Pelodiscus sinensis: one gene and its partners. The protein of the gene in region 2 purifies or fractionates together with the protein of the main gene of each other region. This does not show direct contact. Links are inferred from orthologs where the notes say so. Each region holds a gene or a part of one and is shown on either strand. Other genes may lie near its edges. The genes, in order: SESN2, WDR5, CCT7 and RUVBL1.

Region 1 (7,514 bases), on a different chromosome or scaffold from region 2:
TGTGGGAGGGGCAGGAGAGGAGGGTGCTAAGCCCCCGCAGGTTCAGGGTGGGAGCAGGTTAGAAATCACTTCCCCCGCCACTCCAGAGCCGACACACAACCAGGGCTGCGTTGATGGACCAGCAGGACGGGCCTGGCCCCGTGCACTGCCGCTTCACCCACCAGACTTACACACCCAGCCCCCTCCCTGCTTGTGGGAGGGCGGCAGGTGAGCAGGGATCCGCCAGCAGCAGGACCTGCCAGTTCTGATGGGGGAGGAGGCAGAAAATGGACAACTTGCCCATTTTTAAGAAAAAGTCGGGACACCTGCAGGAGGCCTTAAATACAGTCCTGTCCCTTTAAAAGTGGGATCTGGGGGGCTGGGAAGTCCCTGAGGGAGGGAGGCTGCTCTGCTTGCCAGGGGTGAGGACGTGTCCATCTCAGCCAGGCGAGTTATGGGGAGGAGGGAGCTTTGGGAGCCAGCCAGTCAGAGGGGAGATCTGCCCTTTCCCCCGCTGGTAACAGCTCCTGGGGCCTGGGAGGCTGTGCGGGGAGAAGAATGGGGATGTGTGCCCTCATTAACCAGGCAAAAAGGGGAAGCAGCTCAAGGGAACAGGCTGCATCTCGACCTGCTGCTGCTCCGGGCTTTGTCCAAGTGGCCGGGTGTACAAGGGTCCCTAGCGTTCAGCCTCCGTGCTAATTGCCTCAGCGTCCCCCCACACCCAGCTGCTGCTCAAGGCATCTGTCACTCCTGGGCTCCTGACAAACAGCCGAGCTGGTCACAACAGGCCACACAAGGCTCCTTCTGTGACCCTGCGCGGGGGGTAGTGAGCCCAGGAGAAGCTGCTCTAGCCTTTGACTTTTGCTGCATGTACAGCCTTGTAGGGTAGTGGAGGGGGTAAATCATGGGTAAGTTAGTCACTGGGAGCTGGTGGTGCCCCCTCCTCTTACCCACCCATGCTGCCCAGGCTTGGCAGGGACTGGCTGGCAAACCAGCCAGGAGAGCGGCAAGGGTATGAGATCTGCAGAGCACAGTGTGTTGAGATGGGTCCGATCTCCCCTGAAGAAACGTCACCCTTCTGCCGCCTGATCTACCCCGGGGATGAGGGGCAGTGATTCTGCCCTGCCTCGCCACCTCACGTACCATTTTTACCTGTGAAAAGTGAGTGTGCAACAGGAACACACGGTGCACTTTACACCTTCACGGTCCAGGGGTAAGTGGTGAGGCAGGATGTGATGCCGAGGAGAAAGAATGTCAGAATGTGCAATTTGTTCATGGACCGATGCTTTGCCTCTGCCGGGTGCTTTGCTGCCTAGAGAAATGGGGGCCGCATGGTGGAGTTTGCATTTGAATTCCAGGCTCGAATCAAATTTTGCCAAAGCTCAGGCTATTGAGAGATTCAGTGGTTCTGATTTGGGACTGAGAATAAGCCCAAACGGGGAGATCTGCAGCCCTGGTTCTGCTTTGGGACTATCATAAGGACGGGCCCATCCTTCCTCAGAATTTGGGAGCATGTGGGTCTGTCTTCATCTTAAATCACGTGCCATTAAGAAAAGCACATTACAAAGGCTCTTGCCTCACTGTTTGGCCTCTCCGGAGTTTTAAACCCTAGAGTGAGTCGGAAAGAGTTGGCCCCAATGGAGTAACACAAACTTGGCCTCCCAGATTTCCCTGGTCAAATGCTTAAGGAATCCACTTTGTTACAATGACTTGAGCTGCACCATGCCCAGGTCTGCGGGGGAATGGAAGGCAAACTGGGGTCTCTGCACAGAAGGGTGGTTGAAGGCCACAGAACACCGTCAAGCCAGAGTTTTGCAGTAAAGCTGCAATTGCACAACGCTGCTAAAAATAACACTAGTTGCGCATGGGGTTGATCTATCAGCCAGAGGGGAAAAAAATCCGTTTGACTGTATATAAGCTGCCACTGCAAGCTTCCTCTTTCCCCTTTGTTGTGCTCCTTGCAGGGACTGGCTGAGCCGCCTGCAGCCTCAGCCAACCACACTCTGCCATCCCTTCCTGAGCCGCCTGTCCATTGGCTGTCCTGGGAAGTACCACTCAGCCAAGGTGCAAAGACATTTTCACCTAACTGGCAGGCGTTCTGGATTGGAGCCGGAGGAGGCTGTTGCCAGGCAAATCCAGACCTGTTTGCGCAGCTACTTCTGTTTTCTGGACTTTGCCATGTGTGGCTCTTGACGCCAAAGCAGATTGTTCTCGGCACTATTGTCTGGGGCTCTCTCTTTTGTAGAAATGTGGTGTTTGTTATTCAAATCAGCGGGGGTGGAAATCAACGGGGGCTGCGCCAGGGGAGCAGAGAACACAATTTGGCACTGCGCTTTCTGATTGATTATTCTGTGAAATAACAGACCCAAGTTCATCTCCAGTGTAGCTCCATTCATAATGCTGCCAGTTGTCTGGCCTTCTGTGTTGCTTATGAAGATCTGTGCACTAATGTAGGAATGATAAGCTGTGTCTTAAGACACAGAAAGGACCAGGGATATGGGGTGATCTCTACTCAGTCTCAAGGGTACATCAAAAAATATAACTCAATATGATTGGGACACAGGAAAGCAGAGGAAGCTATAGGGAAGGGCTATAAGGGGACAAGGAACCCACGATGCTGACTTGCAAGTCCCTCTTTTATTTCAGTCCTGGATTCCCTCCTTCCTCTCTTCTATTAACCCATTATCTTATTGGTTGTAAACCCCCCCCCCCCAAAACAGGCACTGTTCCATTATCTCCCTGAACATCAATTGTGCTGACGAAGCACTACTCTGTCAGGGTAGCTGCACCTACACTGAGCATTTTGTCAGCACATGTGTCACTAGGTGTTGTGTTTTTTATGCCCTACGGCTGTGTCTACACTGGCCACTTATTCCAGAAAATCAGCCGCTTTTCCAGATATACTATGCTGCTCCCGTTCGGGCAAAAGTCTTTTTTCCGGAAAACTGTTCCGGAAAAGGGCCAGTGTAGACAGCACAGTACTGTTTTCTGCAAAAAAGCCCCGATCGTGAAAATGACGATCGGGGCTTTTTTGCGGAAAAGCGCGTCTAGATTGGCCACGGACGCTTTTCCGGAAAAAGTGCTTTTCCGGAAAAGCATCCTGCAAATGTAGATGCGCTTTTTCAGGAAATACTTATAACGGAAAACTGTTCCGTTTTAAGCATTTCCGGAAAAGGGTGCTAGTGTAGACGTAGCCTACAAGTGTTAAACGTAGGTGAGGCTTTAGTCCAGCCTGGTGTTAATTGATGTAAGAGGAGAATTGGGCCCAGTATGTGTGAATGTTCATTTCCTTGTGGGCCTCGTGTTCCTTTTCATAGATAATGGGCGTGATTCTCCATTGGCCTACACCTTGTGCTGCCATTTACGCACATGCAAAAGTGAACAGAGCCCTACTGTTTTAATAGTATTTTACATCCACTTTGCACTAGTGCAAATGACAGCACAAGAGCAATGGCAAATGGATGCAGGAACCTATGTGCAGATTTCTTCTCGGTGTGTTCAGAAATCCCATAATGGGAGTTTGTGATCCAGAATCAGCCCTTTGAATCTACAGGGAACAGGGTAATCGTCAACACCCCAACATCACTTCTTTTTATTTCTATGTTGTTTTTCTCCTGATTGGTTGTTTTGCTCCATCCAGGTGCTCTTAATGTTGGTTTGAAATTATTTCCTTTATTTATTTAGTCTCTGTTTGGCAGGTTCACTTAGGTAAGACTTAGGTTTCATTTCAAGTTGTGTTATTTTTAGGTAGATCCAGAGATCTGAGAAAGTGTCTGTGTGTCTGTGTGTGTGTACACGTGGGCGCTCAAAGTGCAGAGGTGGTGAGAAGGGGTCGCAGACTAGGCCAAAAAATGAGATTTAAAAATGGATTCAAGTCAGTGAGGGATGCAAGTCAAGCACTTTTACTCCCAGATTATGACCCCCCCCCCCACACACACACACACAGACACACACGTGCACTTTTCCAAACCACTTTAAGCGCTGCATGCAAACAGGTCGCTAGATTTTGATCCTGCCAGAAGGACCTTTCATATACAATTTGAGTCAGCGTCAAGTGCTTTTCTGCTTGTGCCTAATTTTCTCTCTTCCACTGCAACCCTCCCCCACGAAGGATCAAGTTCTATCTCAGTGTGTTCTCCATTAAAAAAAAAGAAAAAGAAAACCCCGTGAGGGGGCGGGTGGTGCGTGCCTCTGCAGCATTCATTCGGCCGGGTTCCTAGCCCCTGCACCCATTTCTGACTTGATCTGAGGAAGTGGGTCTGGCCCACGAAAGCTCATCATCTAATAAACCATCTTGTTACATTGTCCTGCATTTTGCTTCATCTTCCCAGGAGGTCTCCGTCTGCCCCAAAGTAAACAGCGGTTGAACTAGCACTCCCAAAATCCCCAGCGGCTCTGTCCTTCCCTATTGGAGGAGAAGTTTAGGGGGCTGAGCCCGAGCTCTGGAGGACGCTCCTCCTCCTGCGAGGTGATTGGGCCAGTGGGTCAGTGGGCCGCCGCGGGCAGCTGTTTTCCCCGCCTAGACCTTTATGAGAGGGCAGCTGGGAGGCTGGGAGCGAGTCGCGAGTGGGTTGGCTCCGCGGCGCTCTAGAACCCTGATGCGCCCGGACGTTCCAGAACCCTGATGCGCCCGGACGTTCCAGAACGCGGCCACCTTCGGACGTTCTGCCGTGGAACCCCGGGGCGCCCACCTGCCGCGAAACTGACGTGCCCAGGCGCTGCCCGGCCCGCGATGCACCTTCACCCTCCGGACAGATAACCGGGTCCGAGCGCTGGCGCAGAGCTCGCCCCACGTCTCCCCCGCACCCGAGTCCCTCCCCACCCCGAACGGCACCATGATCGTTGCAGACTCCGAGTGCCGCAGCTGCACGGGCATCGCGAGCTACTTGCCCTGCGAAGGATGTGGCGAGTTGCGGAGTAAGGAGGTAATGGAAAGGGGGGAACCCTCCCCCCCCCCACACACACCCTTTTTTCGGAAGGGGTTTGCTTATTTTCCAGTTTTCTCTTCTCTCCTGCCCTGGTCTGTAACTTCGGAGCTGTTTACTTTCCCAGTCTAAACGATTTGGGGGGAGGGGGCGGCGCTCCAGATCCAGCCTGGTCGCGTAAGGGACTCTTTAACTGTACACTTTTACTCCAGTTGCATCAGCCGCAGTGAAATGGGATGCGAAGGGGGGGCGTGAGGTTGTTCATACCGGTGGCGAATATCGGCGCATTCCCTGGGCCGGTGAATGCTAGATCCGATGGGCAAACAGTTTTGCAGCGTCTGGCATGTGCCGCGAACCGAGTTCTCGCTCCCTCTCTTCTCGACTTTTCTCGGTCATTGGAGGCAAATCAGAGTTTCCATTTGACTTGTTGTTGGGCGAACAGGGCGCAAGTACAGACATGTCCCAAGCTGTGGGCCTGTCACCCCCCTCCCCCCCGGGGTAAACGAAGTAGTCTCACTAGGAGGCTGAGGGGGACGGGTGGCTCGCTAAGGAGGATGGAGATCACTTCTAAGACCGATTCTTACTGACTTCGGAGAGAACAGCCCCTTCTGAAGTTGACAGAATTTAAAATAACTAGCTACCGCTTCCCTTGCAAAAGAAGTTTTCCCAACCTCGACTTTCCATGTTTAATTGGTTTAATTTCCTGTCTTTAATACAGATGAGACACTTGTAACAACCTGGCACCATGCATTAAGATTTTCTTTAACCTCCAGTTTAAGAACAAGATTCCTCCCCCCCCCCTTTTCCTTCCAAAGGGTGATGTGAGGGAGACGAGTCTGCTCCCCCTAGCTTACAGAAACCTCCTGTGACTCTTTAATGGCTAAACTTTAAATAGAGATGCTCAACCCCCTTGAGTTTGAAATCGCCCTTTCTCCTACTTGACTCTTGGGCAGGGAATTCTGCTACCTTAAGGCACAGCTGTCCTCTTCAGGGTGGGTATTCCGCAAACTGCAGTGCAGGACCCTCCAAATGCGCTTCGCCTCCTTTTGCTAAGATGGTGCTATCTGAATGGCGCACAAATTGGTGCTCCCAACAACTTACAATGTACCTTGCTCCTCCCCGGGTACTGAGGACAATACAGTAACTAAAAGCCTTCTTGAGGGCCCTGAGAAAGTTCAGCAGATGAAAAGGTGACCAGCTCTTCTTTTATTTAGGGGGTAAACAAACGCGGGGAAGAGGCAGGTGGAGATAAGAAGAGCAAATAATACAATAGACTGTGTTGATGAGCCCTGTGCAATTTCTCTATGTGGCTTTCATGCACTCTTAATTGTTTGGCCCCATCTGGGCACCTTGTGAGTTTCATAGTTTGAAGATGTGTGCAGGAACTTTACAGCCTAAAAATATGAGGTTGAGAAAGGAAACTGAGGCACAGAAAGGAGTAAAGCTAGGTAGCAGGTCGCTACTAGAGCAGGAAATAGATGATGTAATACCCAAGTTTCCCAAGTTCCAGCTGAGTGATTCTTTGCACATGGCTTTCATCATTCTTGTCTCCCTTATAAGGTCCAGTAGTTACATGAAGAGACCTCGGTTGTGTCCATCTGCTGTGCTTGTTTTTGAAGATGGCAGAACTGAATCCTGTGGGAACAGAACTTCATTGTGCAGAAAACTTTTGTGTCTCTTGCAGATCTGGATGAGGATGGGCAGGCAGCTTTCTCTTCCTTAATCTCTGCTAGGGAGTATTCAAAATACACTGCTGGGGTTTTTTTGTTTGTTTGTTTGTTAATGGAGGAGCTTGGGCTTTGAAACTAGTTCACTGATGGGTTTGGGAGTCCTCTAGAGGAGCAGTCACTGTGTAAGACTCGGAAGTGCTGTGAATACTGTATTTGGTACTTCTCGGACATTATTATTGATCTTGTTAATTACAGTGCCTAAGGATTTGTCCAAATGTTCACCATTGGCTAGGTGCTGTACAGAGTAGCAGACTGTCCTTGTCCTGAAGCATTTACAGTTTTAATATACTAGACAGACACAAGCAACGTGAACAATATCATGGCAGTAAAGAGAGGGGACATTAAAGGAAAAGGTGAGAGGTTGCAAAATGCTTTAGAAGAATAGCTCTCAAACTTTCCAGACCACTGTACCCCTTTTTATACAATCAGACCTTAAAAATACAAAAGTGTCACGGCATGCTACTACTGAAAAATTGCTTACTGGCTCATGTTTCTCATATAATTATAAACTCAATTGTAGTATAACTATTGTACTTCCATGTCAAACAGACTGAATATAGAGCAGTGTAAACAAGTTACTGTATGAAATTTTAATTTGTATGGATTCCACTAGTGTGGTGAATCTAGACCAAATAATTAGATGAGTTGATTTACCCCCCGGAAGACCTCTGTTTACCTCAAGGGATATTTATCACTGTTTTAGAAACTCTGAAAAAAACACTGAGCCAGCTCATCTGTAGAAGTAGGTTTTGCCCATGAGAGCTCATGATCCTATATATTTGTTAGTTTCGAAGGTATCACAGGACTGCTCCTTGTTTGTAAAGTTACAGACCAAGACAGCTACCCCTCTCTGAGACTTAGACACACTGGAGAGACAAGG
Region 2 (7,716 bases):
CTCTCTCCAGCCTCCTTGGAACCTCCCTTCAGGAAGTTGAAGGCTGCTATCAAATCCCCCCTCACTCTTCTCTTCTGCAGACTAAACAAACCCAAATCCCTCAGTCTCTCCTCATAGGTCATGCACTCCAGCCCCTAATCATTTTGGTCACCTTCTGCTGGACCCTCTCCAATGCGTCCACATCCTTTCTATAGTGGGGGGCCCAGAACTGGACACAATATTCCAGATGTGGCCTCACCAGAGCCGAAAAAAGGAAAACAATCACTTCTGAGGCTGGGAAGACTGGGGCCATGGCCCTCTACCCCCCCGCCCCGGTGCTCTAGGGCTGGGGGAGGCTGAGGGCACACACCCTCTTTCTTGCTGGGACGTGGGGCCTGAGCAGAAGGGGTGGACCTGGGGGTGGGTCTGCGGGCTTGCCTCCACCAACTCTACCTTCACCCACGGCCTCTGTGTGTTTCATACCAGCTTCCATCATCTCCAAAGGTAAGGGTCTAGTTTCATGCACCTAAACAACCCCATTAAAGCCTTTGATACTTAAAACTGGGTATGTGCTTAACTGGAGCCTATTATGATTAAAAATCATTTTGCTTTATTTAAAAAGGTAAATTAAAACACTTTACCTAGCCTTAAGGGCAGGGAACATGCAGTGTTGTTGTGATGCTTAGTTACTGTTTGTTAAGCACTTTGAGATCTTTAGGCACTAGCAAAACAGTAATACAAATAAGAGAACTTTGGAAGTGGTAGGAGAAATCTCCAGCATGACAGAGTCATGAGAAATGGGGCACAGTACATGTACATTTTAATCTTCAACAAGAAAAGCAAATTACACTGTTCTGACCAAAGAATAATTAAGTATCAGCTTTTAAAACGGTGAATCCAGTCTATTTAAACAAACCAACCACCCTTAGGTTACAAAACAGAAAAGAACTTAACTGGCTGGGTCTCTTAATGCTGGGTTGTGCCGCTTTTCCAGCTCCGTTTATTATCTTCTACTTTGCCCCCTTATCCATATTTGCATTATAAGGTTTAATTCTTTAAATTCCTGCTCCAGATTTCCAAAGCAGGCAGTAAATTTTTCCTTGAATCCCCTCTCCACCAGACATTTTCCATTCCCCAACTGCCATTAGAATTTTTGGATCTCAAAGCTCTTTGTTAAAGGACCGGCATGTACACACTTTTCTTGGGTTTTTTTTTCCTCCATTAAACAAAAGCCGCTTGTCGCAATTTCTGTGTAGCCTTTGGCCTCGGTTCAGGAAAGCACTGATTTTTCCAGAAAGCAGCGGCGTAACTTTAAGCATGTTTTGAAGCGCTTTCCTAAATGTGGTCCTTTGAATGGATATTCTGAAACCTTGTCAAATTTTATGGAGCGTGCAAGGCACAGAACCGGGACAGATCTTATTTGATTAATCCAGCCCTTCCGTGTTGGAACCTTTTCATTGGCTCTCCTCTGCAAGATCAGAACAGAAGTTTTTATTATGCTTCCAGCAGCATCCCTTGGGTGCATATTGCTGCTTGTTTCAGAGCTTCTTTGAGGTGTTTTGCACAACCTAATCAAAGGGCAAAGCTCTCTTCTTAAAAAATTGGTATAGCTGCAGTTATTATTCACACTTATAGACAACTGAGATCCACTGCAGCAGCAAAGCAAGTATATCAAGCGGACACACAGACATCAGTCATCACTGGGGATTGAATCAGATACTTCCAGCTCCAAAAGCATAGGTCTCTAATCCCTTGAGCTCAAGAAGAGATCACATACCTTAGGTAATTACTGGAGGGAGCTATGGCGAGATACATTAAGCCACTGTATTACACAATCACTAGCACTGAAGCAAAAGACAAAGGCTACATCTAGACTGCAGGCTTCTTTCGGAAGAAGCTTTTCTGGAAGAGATCTTCTGGTGTTTAACCACCCTGACAGTTAGGAAGTTTTTTCTAATGTCCAACCTAAACCTCCCTTGCTGCAGTTTGAGCCCATTGCTTCTTGTTCTATCCTCAGAGGCCAAGAAGAACAATTTTTCTCCCTCCTCCTTGTGACACCCTTTTAGATACCTCAAAACCACTATCATGTCCCCTCTCAGTCTTCTCTTTTCCAAACTAAACAAGCCCATGTTCTCTAGACCTTTAATCATTAGTCATGTTCTCTAGACCTTTAATCACTCTTGTTGCTCTTCTCTGGATCTTCTACAATTTCTCCACATCTTTCTTGAAATGTGGTGCACAGAACTGGACACAATACTCCAACTGGACACAATATTCCCTTACTTCTGGGCTGCTTGTCTGTGCTGAATGGCTAGAGAGCAGCACGCCTGCAGCCCAGAAGAAAGGCTGTAATTTAGGGGGGAGAGGTCCCATCAAAAAAAGTTTTACTCTTAATTTAGCAGATTCCCTTACCCAGAGTGACTGACAAACCTCACATTAGCAGAGTACTATCCTGTATCCTATATGAACACGGCCATGACATTTGCTATTTATGCCATGACCCACCCACAAAAAATGTGCGATTTCTCCATGATTTAAGTAGACCACTCACAATAACGTATAACAGCGATCTGCTAACCTCAGTGGTTCAGGAGGCAAATTAGCCATCCACATTACGTAAAAGAGCCTCAGTTGTGTAAATGTATATATTATCCTCACAGCCAAATGACTGATCGAGTATTTTACAATTGGTGAATAACACAGTAAAAGCATCCTGATTAGCTAATTATGTAGATTGGTTAAATAATTAAATCACACAGTGTTTTAATATCATGTGCTGCAAGGAGCTGCAGGAGACACATTAAAGAGCAACACACAGCTCCTCTCTGAGTAGCTCTGATGTGAGAGACCTTGAGTCTTAGATACCTGAGTGAGTTTCTGAAGGCTGAGTAGGTGCTAAACTTGCAGTGGTCCCCAACGTGGTGCCCGGGGGCACCATGGCGCCCGCCGGGCCATTTCTCTGCGCCTGCTGAGTGAATGAGGCTGGCCCCACACCTGGGCGCATGGCGCATGGCCGGTGCCGGCTCCCTGGGCGGTCAACATATGGGCAACGTCGGCCCCAGGCACGCAACACATGGGCGGCCCCAGGAGCTTTTGGGTGGCCCTGCCCCTGGGTGCGCGGTGCAACGGCTGTACTGGCCCCAGGTGCGCGGCATATGGGCGGTGCCGGCCCCGGGCACACGGCGTTTGGGTGGCCCCGCCCCTGGGCGTGCAGCGCATGGGCTGTTTCGGCCCTGGCGCACGGCGTATGGGCAGCCCCACCCCTAGGCGCCTGGCACAGGAGCAGCGCTGGCCCCCGGGAGTGCAGCGAATGGGTGGTGCCAGCACCGGGCGTGCGCCATATGGGTGGCCCCGCCCCCAAGCACGTGCACGGCCTCGCCCCCAGGTGTGTGAGTAGCCCCGCCCCCAGGCGCCCGGCAGCCCCAAAAGGTTGGGGACCAATGTTAAAGAGTAGGGGTGAAAGGAAGCGCTAGGACTTACTGGTATGCCGGAGTCCTTACTGGTATGCAAGAGGTGATGGGTGGGTTTGAAACCGCACAAGGGGCAGGGCTAGAGCCTAGAGGACCACACTCCTCAGCCAGTCTTTCATGACCACCACTTCATCCGGGACCCCCAGGCCTTTCTAAACACTGGTCTCCAAGGCAGCTGCACCTTTTGCTGCAGGTCACTCTGCCAGACCCGACCAACAGGGCTGCTGACCAATGTTCCCTCTAACTCCGCGTTTCTCAAACTGTGGGTCCCGACTCCCCCCGGGGGGTCGCGAGCAACTTAGAGGGGGGGCACAGTATCACAGAGTTTGAGAATCCCTGCTCTAACCTTTTCTATCCACGTGTGGAATAAAATTTGTATGTGCACGCGGGTGTTTGCAGAGTTGCACCACTGATAGAAACACAAAACCTAGCAGTGGGTGCAGCATTTGAATTGCTCCTGAGCGGCTGCATAAGCACACAGCTTACAGGGAGCGCTGCCGCTGACGGGGGGAGCAAAAGCGGCAGCAATGTTAAAGCACTGCTGAAGCAGCACATTAAAAACGGTCCTTCCCTTGCTGCCGTGATGGCACTTTAACATCCGCCGCATATGGGCTGGTGCCGGTGTCTGCTTCTTACAGGTATACAGCTGGCACCAGCCCAGTGTCACCTGGGTAAGACACAATGATGCTGGGACGGGCCCTATATTTTAAGAAATGGGGGTTTAAAGCAGTGCTGCAGTGGGGGGGGGCTGGGTTTCCTAATACGAGCCGTGTGTGTGGGGATTGCTTGCAGAACTGGGCCCCATATGTAGTGGGTGTGTGTATCACGGGGCCCCATAAGTAGCTGTGTGTGTGTGTGTGTGTGTGTGTGAGAGAGAATCCCCCCCCCACACACACACCAACACTCCCCCCCCCCCACTTCTGGCAGAGGGGCACTGTTCACCCAGGCTGTCCAGTGCACATGAGGACACTGGGTCAGGCTGGGAAGGGGGGGGGGGGGGCTTGAGGGCTCCAGCCTGGGGAGCTGCAGCTTGCTCCAGCCTCAGCGACTTCCAGGGAAATTGCAACACGTGGGCCGCAGGGCCGTGACCTCTGCAGCAGCCCTGGCCGCGTGCATCCCCTGGGAGCCCCCACCCGGAACAGGCCTCTGGCCCTTTAAGGCCTGTGCCAGTCCGCCTCCGACGGATTCTGTCCCTTCCGCCTCGCCGTAGCATCCCCGGGAGAGAGCGGCATTGTGCGGCTCCCTCCCCTTCCGCCGTGAGCGCATGCGCCGCCCCGCAATTCCCCCCTCCCCGCCTGGCAGCTACGGAGCTGCCGCTGCTTCACCTCCTCCCCGGCCCTGCTCCGCGCCGAGGAGGAGGCGGCGCCCCTCCCCCCCCTCCCAGGTAAGTGACTGAGCGGGGCCCCCTCCCCCCCCCCCGCGCCGGGCACGCGCCGCCCCGCGGCCCCGCCCCGAGCTCTGCCTCCGCCAGGGAACGGCCCGCGTGGGGCCGCCCCTCCCCCGGCTCCCGTGTAATGGGGGGGTGCGTGGGGCCGCCCCTCCCCCGGCTCCCGTGTAATGGGGGGGGGCGTGGGGCCGCCCCTCCCCCGGCTCCCGTGTAATGGGGGGGGGCGTGGGGCCGCCCCTCCCCCGGCTCCCGTGTAATGGGGGGGGGCGTGGGGCCGCCCCTCCCCCGGCTCCCGTGTAATGGGGGGGGGCGTGGGGCCGCCCCTCCCCCGGCTCCCGTGTAATGGGGGGGGGTGCGTGGGGCCGCCCCTCCCCCGGCTCCCGTGTAATGGGGGGGGTGCGTGGGGCCGCCCCTCCCCCGGCTCCCGTGTAATGGGGGGGGTGCGTGGGGCCGCCCCTCCCCCGGCTCCCGTGTAATGGGGGGGGTGCGTGGGGCCGCCCCTCCCCCGGCTCCCGTGTAATGGGGGGGGGTGCGTGGGGCCGCCCCTCCCCCGGCTCCCGTGTAATGGGGGGGGGTGCGTGGGGCCGCCCCTCCCCCGGCTCCCGTGTAATGGGGGGGGGTGCGTGGGGCCGCCCCTCCCCCGGCTCCCGTGTAATGGGGGGGGGTGCGTGGGGCCGCCCCTCCCCCGGCTCCCGTGTAATGGGGGGGGTGCGTGGGGCCGCCCCTCCCCCGGCTCCCGTGTCCTTTCTTAGCTCCAGGGCGGGGGGAGGGAGCAGGGAGGATGCATGTCCTTGCTCTTGGGTGCATGGATCTGTCCCTTCCCTAGCTTCCACGTGGAGGGAGGGGTGTGCACCATTCCTGCCCCAGGGTGCATGGACCGGCCTCCTCCCAGCTCCTGTTGGGGGAGAGCTGTGCAGCCCTGGTGATGTATGGAAAAGCCGCTTCCTTAGCACCGGGAGTGGGGGTGGTGGTGCAGGCACCAGCTTCGGGGTGCAGGGTGAATGGATCTGACCTCCTTCCCTAGCACCCATGGGGTACATGGACATGCCCTTCCTTGGTGCCCATGACTGGCGTGTATGAACCTGCCCCCAGACTGCATGGGTCTGACCCCTTCTTAGCTCCCACGCAGGGGGATATGTACCAGCCCTAGTCCTGGGATGCATGGTCTCGCTCCGCCCTCTCTTGTTCCTAGGCCTGGCTGGGGGCATGCACCAGTCTGTGGCCAGGGTGTATGGATTTATTGTCCTCTCTAGCTCCCGTAATCTGTATCTTGCTTTGCATGCGCAGACCTTTCCCTTATTTGGTTAATAAGCTGCATAGCCTGTCTTGGGGGCATGCACTGGTTCAGGGTGGCTTGTGTGGCCAATGTTACTTGCATGCATAGATTCTAGCCCTTACTATTTATTACATGGAGGGTGTGTCTCATCCTAAAGGCCCAGGCTACTGTATGAGATTGGGGATTGAACTGGCACAAGTGCAGAAGTCAAGCTTGTTCTCCCTCCAGCCAGATGCAGCTTTAAGCATTAATGATTTGAGCTTGGTGTAAAAGCCTCTTCATGAGTTCAATCTTAGCCATATTGGCATCAGCCAATTGCCATTCTGGAAACCTGGACTGAATATTACTGTTTCTGCTGTTTGATGCAGAAAGCTGCCTCTTGTTCCTATCATGCATAACACAAACAGAGCTAAACACTGAACAGCTGACGTAGAGTTTCCAAAGCTCTCTTCCAAAATTTCCTAGCAGTGGCTCATCTCCACTGAAGAGAGCTCTAGTGTGGGAAAGACAGGGGCTATACTGTGCTGCACAGTCCCCCAAAGAAGACATGGCACTTAAAATCCTACCAGGCACCTGTGTTGTCACTCCAAATACAGCTACTACTAGCAGAACAAAACTGGTGGTAGCAACACTAATAATTTTTGTCTTAAGACAAGGCCTTACTGTAAGTGGTGGAGGTATTGCCTATTGTCAGGCTGAAATCTAGCAGGGCTGCGGTAGAGGTTTTTTACTCTGCAGTGTAGCACTGATTGAAGAATATTGGCACAGCAGTTTCGGGTTTTGTTTCGAGAAGGTGAGTCTATTGAGACTGCTACAGGCTGGCTCTTAATCAGGTGAAATATCTTCCATGTGTAAGGCAGGAACAAGTATGATTTGCTGCTCTCAAATGCAGTTAAGGAAACAGCCCTTGGTTGAAATAGATGAATTGGGAGGGCAGAAGAAGGGAATAGGATTTTGAGTTCTGGGTGTACCTGTTGCATTTTTCGCATGATCGTGGGTTTTGTATCGCATCTGTCTTTCCATTTGAAAGACATCCAGGACTATTACTTGCCTCAGTTCCAAGAAATGAAACTCTTATAGCTACGCTTCTGAACTTTTTACGTTTAATGGCATTTCAGGGAGTGTGGTGAGAAATAAACTGCCCACACTCTCACCAGATCCTCTCAGCTGTAATATGAGATTAGGCCAGAACAGGGGTTCTTGAACTGGTGTACGCTGTAGACCACATTGTCTCAGAGCATCACATGGACCACCTCCCTTGCCACTGGTTAACAATCCTGTGTGGCAACTACAGCAATTGTTTACTGCTCTGGAGAGCAAGAGGTGCTTATAGCTGTTTAAATCTGATTTGGCATTGGAGACTGGACAACTAGCAAAAAGCTCTGTAGTCTATTTTTATAAAACGGGGAGTTCAGAGGAATGTTGCAGATGGCACAGAGTGATAGGCATAAAACTTTGTCAATTCCATATTTATTTAACTCCCACCAGCAGCATTCAGGTTTCTTGGATTTTAGCTAGAATTGGAAAGTGATTTTTTTCCCCCCACTGATTATATGGGGACCTGGATTATGATTAGGGTGCATTGTTACGTTAATTGTCGTCTT
Region 3 (7,833 bases), on a different chromosome or scaffold from region 2:
GGAACCTTGTATCCCACACCTATACTATGCATTATGCAGGGAGGTTGATAAGTCAGCCAAAAGCCACTGCCTTGTGCTTGGTAACACTGAAGCGCTAAAAGGCAGCTCTGGGAAGTCATGTTATCTTATACTTACCTCTGTCATCAACAATAAGTTTGTCCATGCCCCGAGGGCCCAGGGTGGTGCGAACAGCTTCTGCGATAATCTGGCAGGCATTGATGTTACTTACAAGCTGAGGGATCCCTTGGGAGGAATCCGTGCCTTCCTTCAACAAGATAACTGGTGTGGGCTGAAAAGACAAGAGATGCTAGCTAATGCTTCCCTCAGACTTTAATAAGCCAAATAGTCACCCTAAAAATAACTGTGTACCAATATTTTAACCTCCTTAGCTCAGCTTATTAGTATTATTCAATGTCATTTTTCCTGAGGGGAACAATGAAGGAAATCAGTTCACCTTATTAGAGTGTCACTGTTTGCTATTCCATATCTGACGCTGAAGCCAAAGTCTATTAAAGCCTAATGACTTACAAAAAACTTCAACCCAGAAGATCTTACGCTGCAGGGGCCGGAGCCTACAAACTTTATTCTCACAACTAGACTTTGTGAAATAAGGTCTTAGGCATCAAAAGATCCAGCTCTTTGAAGATTTTCTTTTCATTTTAATCTTCACCTTGAGTATCTTGAGTTTCTAACGCTCGCAGTTATACACTCAAAAACCTGTGTTTGTTTTCATTATTTTAACTTTTACATTACTGAGCTGAGCCTTAATTGGGGGCAGCCCGCAGCAGCGCTGGGAAGAGGCCAGCCTGGTAGCCCGCTGCAGCCCAGGATAGCGCCAGGCTGGGATTCCTTGGCAGCCTGAGGCAATGCAAGGCCAAAGCCCCTGGCAGTGCAGGGCAGCATAGTAGCAGATGGGGGGGCTGGAGGCAGGGGGCCTGGTAGCAGAACTAGGAACACTGAGGAGCAGCAGGCTGGGGAGCCAGTGGTAGGGGACCTCCCCTGGTCTGGCAAATTAGGGTGCCGGACAAGGGAAGTCCAACCTCTACCTTCCAACTTCCACACTGGACTGTCTCTGTACTAGATATATAGTATCCATACTACTCCAACAGCTATTAAAAATGCTGCTGCCAAATGCTAAGTTGACAGAGTGGACAGATCAAAGGCATTTCTACCACTGTGTCATGAAAAATCTCTTAACAGCTTTACATGACACTACGGTATGAACAACCGAGACCTGTCTACCCTTACAATGCTGCTGCCAGCAGCACAGCTGTACCCACTGAGGGTGGTACCCAAAATGCAGATAACAAGGTCTGTGGTAAACATGAAAATTAGGAAATAACAAAAACGCACAGGGGTGCATTAATATCCCTACCCCAAGAATACGCGTACTCCTAGTTGAGAGCCGCTGCTCGAGGTGTCCCCAAGCCTCCAACCCACCAGAAAACTTGGAATGGACATGGGTTGGGATTACTCAAAATTGCCCTGTTTCATTCATTCTCCCTGAGGCATCTGCACTGGACACTGCCAGGGAAAAGATACTGGACTAGATGGACCACTGGTGTGATCCTGCATGGTCATTCTTATGCTTGTAAGAGAATGACTTAGGGATTCTAAAAGGCCATGGTAACAGCCAGCCAATGCCTCCTCACAATGTTCTAGGATGATCCCATGCCAGTGAACCTTTATTTGTGCAGAAACCCATTTTCACCTCTCACTGTCTTTGAAAAAATCAGAGCAAGATGGCATTGCTTGAAGGGGAAGCTAGGCCAACACTTAGCACTTCACCGAATGCAAGCATGATCTTTTTACACTGACAGTGAAGTGGGAGGTTGACCCATTGGCAATAAACAGTTTTACGGCAAGATCGCTAGGATTCAAACAATTCCGACATTGCCTTTGGAGACTCATTGGGCAAGAGGGCCAAGGGTGGGGCATGAAAGTTAAATACAGGCCCTCAGACTTCAAGGACATGTTGTGAAACAGAAACAAGGCTCTTTTACCTCTGTCAGAACAAGCCTAAATGGAAGTTTATATAGAAAATCCAAATTATCCTGCCTTTGAAGAAAACCACGTTCTCTGCAACATAAGCATCCTTTTGTAAGCATCCCTGCACATTCTGAGGCCTGCCTTTAGCTTAGCCCGGGGACGTGCCCACCACCGAGATGACAAGTCTGGCAACACTGCATCAGGCAACGCTGCCCCTTTCCTCTGAACAATTTGGGGACAGCAGGTGCCAGAATCAAAACGAGCCATTAGCATCACCCAAACAGAACCGTGGAGACCACAGGGACGGTGGCCCCCAACATGCAATGCTACGTCCTGACCACAGCAGCCTCCGTGGGCAATGCTGGGCCCCTGCGGCTGTTTCGGGGAGAGGCAGGGCGTCCGATCCCAGCACGCAATGGTTTGGGGAGCCCTAAGGGCAGGTTAACGGTTACTATAGTCAGCAGAAGAGGCTTCCTTCACTCCCCCCGCTGCTCTGTCCTACAGGGACTACAACCCCCAGCATGCAATGCGCCACCTGGAACCCCAACTCAGGGGCAAGTTTTCGCGCGTTACTTGATGGGGCTGGTAGTCCCTGCGAGGCCACTGATGTCCCACCGCTAGCCAGGCCGGCCCGAGCTCCCCAGGCCTCCCACCCCGCTCAATGGGCTGCCCTCGGGGCAGGCCGCAGCGCCCCGCGCCCTTCCTGCCGCCGGGCTGCGCTGGGGGCCGCGGCTCCGGCTCCAGCCCGCCCCCCCCAAAAATAACGGCTGATGCCGGCCGGCTAGAGCCCGCTGGGGGCGGGGAGCCGCTGTCGGGCCGGGAGGGCCCGTCCCCGGGGCGGATGGCGGCGGATGGCGCGGGCCGCGCCGGCCCCACTCACCATCATCTTGGCGGAAGGTCCGGTGGAGCGCCTCCAGCACAGGGGGTGGCCGCTCCCACAATGCACTGCGTCCGCGCAGAAACTTCGCGAGGGGCGGGGGCGGAGTTCCAACGGGAAACGGAAGCGAGCGGCTTCTCCCCGCGCCCACTCGATGGTTGGGAGCCCGCCGGCGTCCCTTCCTTCCCGCCTCTGACCATAGAGGTGCGGAGGGGTGGGGTCAGCTCAATATCTGGCAAGAGGAGTACTGACTTGGCTCATTATTTGGCAAGCAGACAGTATAGGGCTCACTGTCTGGCAGGTGGGGGAGCTCAGGTGGGACTCACTCTCTGGCAGGTGGGGGGAGTGCAGGTGGGGGCTCACTATCTGGCAGGTGGGGGAGCTCAGGTGGGGCTCACTGCCAGGTGGGGGTGTGCAGGTGGGGGCTCACTATCTGGCAGGTGGGGGAGCGCAGGTGGGGGCTCACTATCTGGCAGGTGGGGGAGCGCAGGTGGGGCTCACTATCTGCCAGGTGGGGGAGCGCAGGTGGGGGTTCACTGCCAGGTGGGGGGTGTGCAGGTGGGGGCTCACTATCTGGCAGGTGGGGGAGCGCAGGTGGGGGCTCACTATCTGGCAGGTGGGGGTGTGCAGGTGGGGGCTCACTTTCTGGCAGGTGGGGGAGGGTAGGTGGGGGCTCACTCTCTGGCAGGTGGGGGAGCGCAGGTGGGGGCTCACTATCTGGCAGGTGGGGGAGCTCAGGTGGGGCTCACTATCTGGCAGGTGGGGGAGCTCAGGTGGGGCTCACTCTCTGGCAGGTGGGGGAGCGCAGGTGGGGGCTCACTATCTGGCAGGTGGGGGAGCTCAGGTGGGGCTCACTCTCTGGCAGGTGGGGGAGCGCAGGTGGGGGCTCACTATCTGGCAGGTGGGGGAGCTCAGGTGGGGCTCACTATCTGGCAGGTGGGGGGAGTGCAGGTGGGGCTCACTATCTGGCAGGTGGGGGAGCGCAGGTGGGGGCTCACTGCCAGGTGGGGGAGCGCAGGTGGGGGCTCACTGCCAGGTGGGGGAAGGCAGGTGGGGGCTCACAGTCTGGCAGGTGGGGCGTGTAGGTGGGGGCTCACTCTCTGGCAGGTGGGGGAGGGTAGGTGGGGGCTCACTATCTGGCAGGTGGGGGAGCGCAGGTGGGGGCTCACTCTCTGGCAGGTGGGGGAGCGCAGGTGGGGGCTCACTCTCTGGCAGGTGGGGGAGCGCAGGTGGGGGCTCACAGTCTGGCAGGTGGGGGCTCACTATCTGGCAGGTGGGGGAGCGCAGGTGGGGGCTCACTATCTGGCAGGTGGGGGAGCGCAGGTGGGGGCTCACTATCTGGCAGGTAGGGCGTGCAGGTGGGGGCTCGCTGCCAGGTGGGGGAGGGCAGGTGGGGCTCACAGTCTGGCAGGCAGCTGGGTACTGATGGGGGCTCATGAAGGGGAGGTTGGATGAGGAGCAGATAGTTGGGTTCACCAGCTAGTATTGCCAGGTGTCCAGTTTTGCACCCGACAGTCCAGTTTTGGAGCTTTCTGTTCTGGAAACCAATGGAGAAAATAGAACCGTCCGGTATTTTCTAAATCGGATGGAATGTCGATTGGGATGGAATGTCAAGTGCGTCCGGTATTTTTGTTGGACCCATCTGGCAACGCTATCCCCAGGCACTTGGAGCACAGTGGGAGGCAGGGAAACGGGGCAGAGGGTCTGATGGGGGGGAAAGTCCGGGACGAAGTGCCTCGTCCCCCTTGCATTAGAGACACTTGCACAGCATCAAGCCATGTCAGTGGCATGCCCGCAGTATATCAGTGTAGCGTGTAATCAGGAGGGGCTCACACCCGTATAGCAGCACCGGTGCTGTCTAGGATGAGATTGGCAGGGTTTAAAGATGCGCAACAAAATGTCCATACAGCAAAACTAATTGGGGGAGGGGGATTGAGGCCGTGAGGAGGGGCTGGGGCGGCTGCTGTAGCTGTGAAGCTAGTGAGATACTGTGCAGAAATGCCAGTGGTAGGCAGGGCTGAGGGGGAGTAGAGCAGGCTTGAGCAACAGCAAAAGAAGCCATAGCAACCCCCACATTAAAAGCAACCATTGTAAAAACCAAAACCAGCATCCAGGCGCTTATTCCTGTAACCTTTGCCCTCCCTTCCCTCCTCCTTGTTTGTTGCTTTCACTCACTGCATCTACAGGTAGGCCCTAGTCCTGCAGATGCCTGCGCAGCTTTTTGAATGTTGGGAGCAAGGCTACCCCTTTGAAGCAAAACCCCTCCTCCCCATCAGTAAACATTAATGGGTGAAGCTCAGGGTCCCCTCTTGGGCAGATGTATAGAGGGGGAAACTGAGGCACACTGTGCAATGACTTGGCCAAGGTCACACATCTATAGCAGAGCCCAGAATAAAACCCCACCTCCTGCCCCCCAGTCGTGTGTCCCTGCCCTTTCCGTGGAGTACGAGTGGGTGGAAAAGGACGGATTTGCTTCCAGTGATTTTACTTCTGAAAAATCTGCTGAAGGGCTGAACCGGCTCGGATTTATTTTATTTTATTTATTTTTTTCTTCCTCTCTACTAGGAACCCCTCGGTGTTTCAAGCCTCTTGTAACCAGCCGGCACTGGATTGATTGAAACCTTCACCAATGGGATTGGCAGCCGCTGGAGCTGACCAGTGAGTGGAAGCCAGAGGCGGGGCTTTGCTTTGTGGCCACTTTGAGACTTCTGTGGCTAGAGGTGCCTTGGGGAGCCACGGAGAGGCTGGTGCACAGACATGCTCTTCAGCGCTGGCAGCTGGCTGCATTTTGTGCTCTGTCTCTGCGCCTGCCCTTTTGCTGATGGTGAGTACGGGCCACCCGGGGAGAAGGAGAGGCTAGAGAGTACCCCGGTGCCTGCATTGTGTGGGCGCCTTTTCCATTCTGCTTGGCGCACGCTTGCAACACAGGACTGACAAGCAAGCCTTTACAATGCACATCCAGCTGCCTCTTCCAAAGTCAAGTGCCCTGCTGCGGCAGCCGCTGGCCCTTGTGCTCAGAAACTGCTGCCCTGAAATGCAGGGGAGGGGTTAAAAAACCTTGAGCGCTTCTCGGCTGGGGGGGAATTTGTGCTTGCTGTTTATTCTTTGTATTCTCATCATGCTCTGCTCTGTTGGCTGCCGGGAAGCCCTGCCAGACCTGTCTGGTTTTTAGTGTGTCTGTAAGTTCCCATTTTCAGTCGTGAAGGGGTGGCAGTCCGGCTGGGGCCATGTAGCAGGAAAATCTCGCTGCACAGGATCCAGTCTTAATAAATGCCTTGTGCCGGCGCTCTGAAAGCTGTGAGCGAGCCAAAGCAAAATATAATGCAACATCCTCTTGCCCTGGCATAAGATCCCTCCATGGAGGGGGCCCAGCAAGGGAGAATCTTGCATTGCCACTCGGCTTGAGAGACAATTTTGATCGCTGTGGTTGCCCATTAGAACACGGTAAATCAGCCCTGAAACTCGCACAGCGATTAGGAAAGGAAGATGGAGGGAAAGCTGGATTCAGGGGCAGCCAGCAGGTAAATAAGAGGAGCTGAGGCAGGTTAAAAGATGGAGAAAGCAAAGGAGAAAATCCCAGAGGGGAGATTGCTCCGCTGGGTTTGGTAAATGACCTGTGTTCAGTTCGGAGGCGCGTTCCAAAGGGCTGGCCAAGCAGGCAGCCTGGTTTTATGTCACACTCTGGAGGAGTCTCGTGATGGGTCCTAGCTGCTTGCCCAAATTAATGTTCTGGCTGTGGCTGGGGGGTTGCTCGGTTCACTGAGGTTAGCGGAAGTGCTGCTACGAGACGTCAAAATGCTCTCAGCAGGGCAGAGGGTTTGGGCTCCATCTGGAGCAGCGCTGGACACCAGCATCTCCTGTGGGTTCTCAGCACCTCTCCGGATTAGGCCCTTCCTTGTCATTTATCCTACTACTCTCCCTTCCCGCTTCCTCTGCTTAGTGTAGTAATTATTAACTGCCTCGCTAAGGATCCCGGACTTCAGTGTCAGGGAGCCCATGAGAGGCAGGTAAGTAAACAGGCCCCAGACTGTACAGATTGGGAAACTGAGGCATGGAGCGATGAAAGTGACTTGCCCAAGGACGCTCAGCCAGTCAGTGGTGGCCCCAGGAATAGAACCCACATCCCCCGACTGCCCTGCTTTGCCCACTAGACACCCCGCCCCCCACTGACAGGCGTCAAGTGGTGCCTGTAGTAATTTAGAGAGTGAATTGGCCTGCTAGAGTGTCTGCTGTGCTTCACCCGCATTAACTGTGCCTCCTGACTCCCTTGTGCCATGGTCAAGTGGCAGCCCCGTGTGCTACTGGAGGGGAAACTGAGGCAAGGATTGGGTAAGGGGCAATGTGTTTGGAAAGTGACTAGAGATTTTGGGAACCCAGCCTGACACACCTCCAGAGTCCAGGCACCAGCAGCTCCACTGACTTGGTCTGGGGCCTCAAGCACCTCGGTAAATTACTCCCCAGGTGCCTAAAACTGGGCCATGCAAAAATTGGAGGTACCCAGTAGGGATGTGAAAGGTTTATATGGGGGGCTGCTCTGGAGGTCTGCCATGGACAGGGGCTGCTCCAGGTGTCTGGAGCATCCCCTGTCCGCGGCTGGCTCAGGAGGCGGAGTTTAACCAATTCAATGGATTTCACATCCCTCGTGCCTAGAGATTAATGACACTAGTGAAAATTCTGGTCAAACTGACTTGCCCAGGGTCTCACCAGGTTTCGGTGCTACAGAACCTAGATTTCCCAATGCCCATTCTCCTGCTGTCACGGCTAGCCAGTGCTCCCTCCCTAAGATGTAAGAGAGCGTCCTGCGTCTTCACGGCCTCTTGCAGGAAGTGCTGATGGAAGTAGGGTTGCCAGGTATCTGGTTTTCACCCGGTAATTGCATCTTCTGTCCGGTAAAAAAAAAAAAAACCCAGAAAATACCAGACAGAAGATGCAATTACCGGACTATCCAGGTGAAAATGTTTGGTCTC
Region 4 (7,008 bases), on a different chromosome or scaffold from region 2:
CTTCTGAAATTTTCCATCAGGACTTCAGTCTTCTTGATCTCAGTGGAGTAGACCTCACTTCCAACCATAGGACAAAATGGAACCTTGCTTCCCAACTCTTGAGCAATAGCTAGAGCTAAAGCAGTCTGTAAAAATTCAAAAGACTGAACTCTTACACACTTAAGAATTTTTATGAGAGATACATGTATAATGACCAAAAGATCTTGTAGAAACCATTCCAGAAGGTTAAAATACTTTGCTCACTACATCACCGTCTGCAATGCTTTACAGTGCTGTTTTATAAATGGAGAGATCCAAGTGCCTTCAATGAGATAATGGAAGAATGAGAACTGGAACCTAAGGCCTGGGAGTCAGGATTCCTATGTTCTTACTCCTCCACTTTTTCATATACAGCAACAGCACATTTCTCTTACAACATGTCTTTCATCCAAGAATTAAAAGAACTACCAAGAAGCACCTGAAGCTAGTCATAAAACTGTTTACTATTTTTGGACAGTCTCTCTTTAACATCCCATATGTAAGGTGTAAGTCTTGTAACGTGCAAAAAACAAAGGTTAAAATGCTTTAAAACTCCCAAATTTATGTTTAAGATGACATTTATTTAAAACCCACATACTTCATATTACGTTTTCATTCATTCACATGTGTAGAATGGGTTTTTACACTGTTGGCACTAGAACGAGACATTGCCACTGCACACTCATAGCATGGTAAAACACAATTTGGAGAAAGGTTCAGTGCTTATTCAACTCTGGCTCAAGTTAAAAAAGATTAGTAACTGCAGAAGGTACTTGCTGAAGTTATTATTGGGGAAATATTTGACACCACTATTAGGGATGTAAAAGAGTAGTCAAGTATATGATAGGGATATTAAAGTTAGATTAATCAACTAATTGAATAGTTGATGGAATTCTAATTGAATAGTCGATGGAATTTCCATCAACTATTAGATTAGTCAATAAGGGCGCTTCTGCTTTGAAATGTAGCAAGAGCTCGCCCAGCTGTTGTTACATTTCAAAGGCGGCAGTGCCACACAGTGTTCTACCTTCAAAGCCAGTTCCCCCAACATTGATTTCATGGTGCCATCTGCCCCTCTGTGCTGCTGCCTCTGATTGAGAGGGGGTCGGAGCTCACAGCAGCAGCCCCTATCTGTGGGGGGGAGGGTCCCAGCTCCCAGCAGACAAGGGCCGCTGCCAGGGACCAGCCTCTGTCTGCAGTGGGCCCACGCTCACATGGACAGAGGCTGCTCCGTGGGAGGCAGAGCAGCCTCGGTCGTGGGGAGCTCAGACCCCCCCGAGGACAGGGACTGCTGCCAGACCAGCCTCTGTCTGCAGCCAGCCCAGGCCTCCGTGGACAGAGGCTGCTTTGCAGCAGCCTCCCACCCACCCCAGCAGCCTCTGTCCATGGGACACTCAGACTGTCGTGGTCAGGAACTGCTGCCACCCCACGCTGCTGCCTCTGATACAGAGGCAGCAGCACAGTGTGGCAGGCAGCTGGTCTGTGATGGAAGCTGTTTTTTAAACTCGCTACCCTCATGGACCAGCTCCTGCCTGCCACCCCATGCTGCTGCCTCTGACACAGCATGGGGTTACAGGGGACTCCCTGAGAGTGGGGCTGAAGCGCATTGGCTGCCGGCCCTGCCCCTGGGGACAATAGAATAGTCAAGTAACTAATAAAAATTCACGTGGTTACTCAACTATTCTATTATCTGCTATCTAACATCCCTAACCACTATATTTAAGAGAGAGTGGTAGAGAATAGCTTTTGTACTAAGAAGACGATACCTTGCCAGTTCCAGGAGGTCCTGCCAATAGCACAGCTCTACCAGCCATTTTCTTGCTTTTGATCAATTCCACTATAACACCACAAGCCTACAAATAAAAACATTAATTTAGCTGGTTTTAGGTAAACCTAAAATTACCTTTTAAATGAATATTCTCAACCAGTTTATAGGTAATAACACTTTTACACAGCTTAAGTACCTGTCATTCCCGAGGGACCAACAGTGTTTATAAGAATTACTACTCATAACACTATTAACATTTAGTTTTTCAATAACAGATGGGGAAACTGAGATAGACATCATGATTTCCCCAAATCACACAAAATCTGTGGCAGAGGTACAACTAGAATGCAGGAGTTCTGACACTTTTGCTGTAAATACAGACTTCTTTCGGGTACCTGTAAATGACTGGGAAGGGAAGGGCTCCTAAAACGTTAGTTATAAAGCAAGATTCATGACAGTGTGGTCCAGCCAATGAGAGTTAAAAGCTTTCAATTCTACCCGAATTATGCTAATGAGCTGGTGTATGACGCTGGGTTAGTCACTTTGCTTCTCTGTGGCTCAGTTTCGCCATCATAAGAAATAACGATAACGCCAATCTCCCGTTACAAAGTGCTGTGACGTCCATGGCTGCATATGGACGAGCCGTTATCGCTGCAGCGCTGCCATCGCTAAAGCTAGAGTGAGGCTATAAGGGTGCGCGGAAGAGGACTGACAAAGACTGAAGCACCAGGACTGCGGCCCCTCCAAAAGCCAGGGAGAAGGGGCAGACCACGTAGCCCCGATAGGGCCCTCCTGACGCAGATGGAGCGGACATTTCAACTGGCAGGTGGGGGCCGTTGGCAAGGGGGCGGGATGTGCAAAGGGGCAGCAACCCCCCAGCAACGGTCTCGCCCACCTCACTAGGCCGCTCTATGCCTCACAGACCCCCCCCCCTCCCGCCGCCCACCCGTCTCCAGCCGGGGCCCCTCACCTCCCGAGCGTTCTCCTGCCCCACCAGCCCGGCCCCCGCCGGCTTGGCCGCGCCGCTGTCATCCAGCCCCAGCCCCTTCACGTGGCTGTGCGCGGCGATGCGCTGCGTCTTCGAGGTGCTCTTCACCTCCTCGATCTTCATGCCGGCGGCAAAGAGCAGACACAGCTCCGGCTGCCTCCTAGTCACACAGTCCCGGGAAGCACGCGGCCCGCGCGTTACCAAGGCTCCCGGCGCCTGGTCACCTAATCCCGCCTTCTCCCTTGCCATTGGCCAACGCGGCACGACTCTCGCTGCTTATTGGAGAGGGCATGTGTCGGTTACTACCAAAGATTGAAAGCTCGCCCATCCACTTCCCTGTGTGCTCGTCGTAGAAGTTCCGGCGTCACCCACTCGCTCTGGAGCTTCTGGGCCGGGATGCTATCGTCCCTGTGGAGCACCCAGCTCAAGGATTGCAGAGGTTGGGGGAAGGAATTACTTGGCCATAGGTGGGGCTTGGGAGGCATGCGGCTGGGGAGAGGTAGTAACCACAGTCAGGGGCAAGCCCAGGCTGTAGCCGTCTCCCCTGCCAGGTCAATTGCCTATGGCGTTTTGGTCTGCTCAGCTTACATGTGCCTCTGACAAATGGAGAGAGGCGAGGACTGCTTGTTTCTAACGAAACTTTCTGTCCCCGTAGTTAAACGGTGGGATAAATTGCCTAGCATAGCTGTGGAAACTCCATCAATGTTTAAGCTGCTCTTAAAAATTTCCAAACCTCTGTTAGGGCTGGGCAAGGGGTCTAGGGGTTGGATTCGGTCCACCTAACACTGAAGAGGGGTCACACTCTGCAAGCCAGGTCAATCTGGCCACTTTCTGTTATGTCTTACTGCCCTTGCCACCGAATTTCCAGTTCAGGCAGCAGGATCCTATTTAAATGGCTCTTGGCTCACAGTCTGGCAGGTGCTGGAGCCATGAGCCTTTTAAATAGCTAGAGTAACCCTGGGCAGCTGCCAGGCACTGTGATAGGGCTGGGAGCCACAAGGCCTTTGCTATGTCTTTTCTTCAAAGCCTCCAGCCCTAGACAACTCTTGAGGGGAAGCTAGTGCCCAGCCCCACCCCTTCTGCCACAGGTCCCACCCTTTCCAGGGGTGGAGCTGGCCCATGACCAAGTATCAAAATTCATTAGGTGGTGGTTGTCCCCCCACCTCCCCCAAAAAAATTATTGTCCACACCTGATCTATATAGTACTTGGTCCTGCCCTGAGTACAGCAGATTGGACTTGAATATCTTTCAAGGTCCCTTCCAGTTCTGGTATTCTATGATTTTATAATAGAAAGAGCTAGATTTATTTTCCAAGACAGTGGCTGTGTCAGAATGGCTAAGGACACAAGCATTTGCTTGCTTTAGAGATCTCCTGTAGTATGCAGTCCTGTCTCGCTCATGGGCTATATCTAATTTAGCCTGATTGTTTGCTTTGCTGGACTTCACTAGTAACATGGAGTCTCTTGCCATTGGATTCAGTTGGCTCATTTATTTTGCAGTGGGCTGGAGGAAGGTGTAACCATCAGGGATGTAAAAATCCATGTAATTAGTTAGCAGGTTAAATGTTATCTTTAACTGATTAAATAGAGGTGGGTGAGAGGAGACATTCCAACCAAAGCGCACTCCCCCAGCTATGGGCTAGGCAGCTCTGACCAGGCTGGAGTGCCCTTGCCCGAGGCATGCCCCAGATGGACCCACAGCAGTTGAGGGCTGCTTCAGGGCCCACTGGTTAACCATAACTCTCAACCATTAAGGGTGAGACTTACTGGTTAACAATTCACCTTCTTATTAACCATGCACTTTTTCCACTGGGAAGTTTAGATTTCCCCAGAAGCACTTTCAGTGAAATAGTGGTAACTTGAAGAAAACACTTCTTAAAATATATATACTTTCATCCCAAAGATAAGCTAACACTTCTCTTTTAAAAAATAACATTTTTACATATTTGTATAGCACTAATAAAATTTCTTTTATCTTCCAGCTGTTAGAATTTCCTTCATTAATGCTTTATAATGTTTTTATTAGCTATGTTCATAGAAAAGTTTTTTTTTTTCCATATAGTGGGGAAAGTGTTTATGTAAGCAGCGAGTTCTGCTTTGGCTCTGAACAATACACTTAGGCTACGTCTACGCTATATGCTTCTTGCGTAAGAAGCCTTTTGCGCAAGAGTTTTTGTGCAAAAACTTCTTGCGCAAGAACACGTCCACACCGCAAAGCACATCGCAAAAGCGATGTGCTTTTGCGCAAGAGAGCGTCCACACTGCATGGACACTCTTGTGCAAGAAAGCTCTGATGGCCAGTCACAGAACGACCATCAGATTCCTGTGCTTTTTCCCGGAGGGGTTTCTTGTGCAATGTCCACACTTGCCTTTTTGTGCAATAGCTGTAGCGCAAAAGGAAGTTATGCCTTGTAAAAGGAGGTTTACCTGCATGGGCAAAAGTCCTCTGTTCTGCCGTTTAACTGCTGATTTACTTGTGCAAATGCTCATTTGAGGTGTGGATGCGCCACAGGTTTTTACGCAAAAACTTTGCAGTGTAGACGTAGCTATACTGTGTATATACATCAAACATATCAAGTGCCCAACACATACCGTAAAATCTCAAGTATAATGCGCACTTTTTACCTGTTGTTTTTTTTTTAGCGTTAAAGTCAGGGTGCGCATTATAATTAGGAGGGGTTTTTTTTTAAGTTTTCATTTGGCAGTTCCGCGGCAGTTAATTAATCGCTGGACACCAGAGGTTAAGTTGATTTTTATTAGTACCAACAAGCAACTATATACACAGTTTCAAAAAGGTAAGTTAAACAAGTGAAATCAACACTGCAGCGCAAACAAGCAAATACCACTATGTTAATTGATTGACTACTCATCTTCGAAGCCCTCGAATTCACTTTTGTTAGAATCTTCCTCAAACAGTCGAGCAATATCTTCCAGGGTATAGCCCTCAACATCTTCATCCAGGTAATACAAATCATTGTCATCTTCGCATACTGGTAATTCGCCCTCGGCCACTTCATTGTCACTCGGATTCATCCACAGGGCATCATCCTCACTGCCATTCATAGCATTAGAGATGCTGCATTTCAGAAACCCCTTCCTTATCATAGCGGGATCAAGTTCAAGCCAGACATCCGCTACCCACTGGGTAACATCTTGCAGCGTTGGTGTTCACATACGTCCACCTGCAGTAAATGTATGTTCACCTTCCAACAACCAGGTGTTCCATTTCCTGTGTAGTGCATTTTTGATTGGCTTGTTAAGTGTCACGTCAAGCAGCTGCGACATTTTGGTCATTCCACTAGGAATAGTTGCCAAGTCTGTTTTGTCCTATTGAAGCCTTTTCTTAACGGATGGCATACGATGACACCGAAATGCATCCAAAACTATTAGAGACCGCTTTCTCATAAGTCCACCCAGCTGCTTCGCCCAAACCGTCTGTAGCCAATCAAGCTTCATCAATCCAGCCTTTAGGGTGAACACGCATGTGAACGATGTTCGGGAAGATTACATTCCTTGGCATTGTCTTGCTCTTGAACACAATATAAGGAGGCAGCTTCGTTCCGTCGGCCATGCAAGCAAGCATTATGGTAAACCTAGACTTTTCATGGCCTGTGGTAGCAATGGAGATGGTCTTGGCACCTTTCAGTTCAAGCATTCTGTCACAGGCATTATCAAAATGTAATGGTGTTTGATCTGCATTACCAATTAATGAAAGGTAGTAGCAGTGCTGCTTCCGTAGCTTATGATAAACTTTTGGAACTGCAGTGACTTGGTGTCTGAGTCCATGGGTAGCTTCTGTGCGATTGTTGTTCAGCATCGGACCAATAGGCCATGGTGATTCATGAACCGATCACCCCAGCCATACGAAGCTTTAAACCCGGCTGTGTTAGTGCACGTTTTGGCAATGGTCAAAGTCTTCTTTCCAACCTCCACAATGCTAACACCACCGCCGTGCTGTCTACGCTCAGCAATCCATTCAACCCGCTTGGCCTTCAACTCAGGATATGCAGCGCTTTTACCTCACTCAGCCATCTTCATCCTAGGCAGTGCTTGCAGGCTCTCTTTCTGCCATCTCCAAAGCCAAATGTTAGACTCCGCTATGTCATCAAATTCACAGCTGGCAGCTCTGTTGCCATGAGCCTCAGCATAGCTAACAACTTTCAGTTTTTCAGAGGTCGTGTAAGATCGCCGACAACTCATGGCATCCCAAAGAGAGCATGGAACACCGCGCACTA

The links.
Region 1: the proteins of WDR5 (region 2) and SESN2 purify together in Homo sapiens (affinity purification with mass spectrometry; 3 studies listed by BioGRID and IntAct, counting the BioPlex papers as one, with this or other methods). This does not show direct contact. The link is inferred for Pelodiscus sinensis from reciprocal best matches to the Homo sapiens genes WDR5 and SESN2.
Region 3: the proteins of WDR5 (region 2) and CCT7 purify together in Homo sapiens (affinity purification with mass spectrometry; 3 studies listed by BioGRID and IntAct, with this or other methods). This does not show direct contact. The link is inferred for Pelodiscus sinensis from reciprocal best matches to the Homo sapiens genes WDR5 and CCT7.
Region 4: the proteins of WDR5 (region 2) and RUVBL1 purify together in Homo sapiens (affinity purification with mass spectrometry; 3 studies listed by BioGRID and IntAct, with this or other methods). This does not show direct contact. The link is inferred for Pelodiscus sinensis from reciprocal best matches to the Homo sapiens genes WDR5 and RUVBL1.

Annotation. Positions count from the first base shown.
Region 1 is NC_134735.1:12,743,403-12,750,916, forward strand, and holds the start of SESN2 (sestrin-2), read left to right. Parts: upstream 1-4,499; 5' UTR 4,500-4,814; coding exon 4,815-4,904; intron 4,905-7,514. UniProt on the Homo sapiens protein: Functions as an intracellular leucine sensor that negatively regulates the mTORC1 signaling pathway through the GATOR complex. In absence of leucine, binds the GATOR subcomplex GATOR2 and prevents mTORC1 signaling.
Region 2 is NC_134732.1:17,957,548-17,965,263, forward strand, and holds the start of WDR5 (WD repeat-containing protein 5), read left to right. Parts: upstream 1-4,707; 5' UTR 4,708-4,833; intron 4,834-7,716.
Region 3 is NC_134715.1:131,026,810-131,034,642, forward strand, and holds the start of CCT7 (T-complex protein 1 subunit eta), read right to left. Parts: upstream 3,008-7,833; 5' UTR 2,876-3,007; coding exon 2,870-2,875; intron 290-2,869; coding exon 136-289; intron 1-135. Other genes in the region: PRADC1 (protease-associated domain-containing protein 1), read left to right, coding at 5,624-5,690. UniProt on the Homo sapiens protein: Component of the chaperonin-containing T-complex (TRiC), a molecular chaperone complex that assists the folding of actin, tubulin and other proteins upon ATP hydrolysis.
Region 4 is NC_134721.1:24,793,224-24,800,231, forward strand, and holds the start of RUVBL1 (ruvB-like 1), read right to left. Parts: upstream 3,007-7,008; 5' UTR 2,898-3,006; coding exon 2,757-2,897; intron 2,215-2,756; exon of another isoform or gene 2,182-2,214; intron 1,872-2,181; coding exon 1,785-1,871; intron 126-1,784; coding exon 1-125. UniProt on the Homo sapiens protein: Possesses single-stranded DNA-stimulated ATPase and ATP-dependent DNA helicase (3' to 5') activity; hexamerization is thought to be critical for ATP hydrolysis and adjacent subunits in the ring-like structure contribute to the ATPase activity.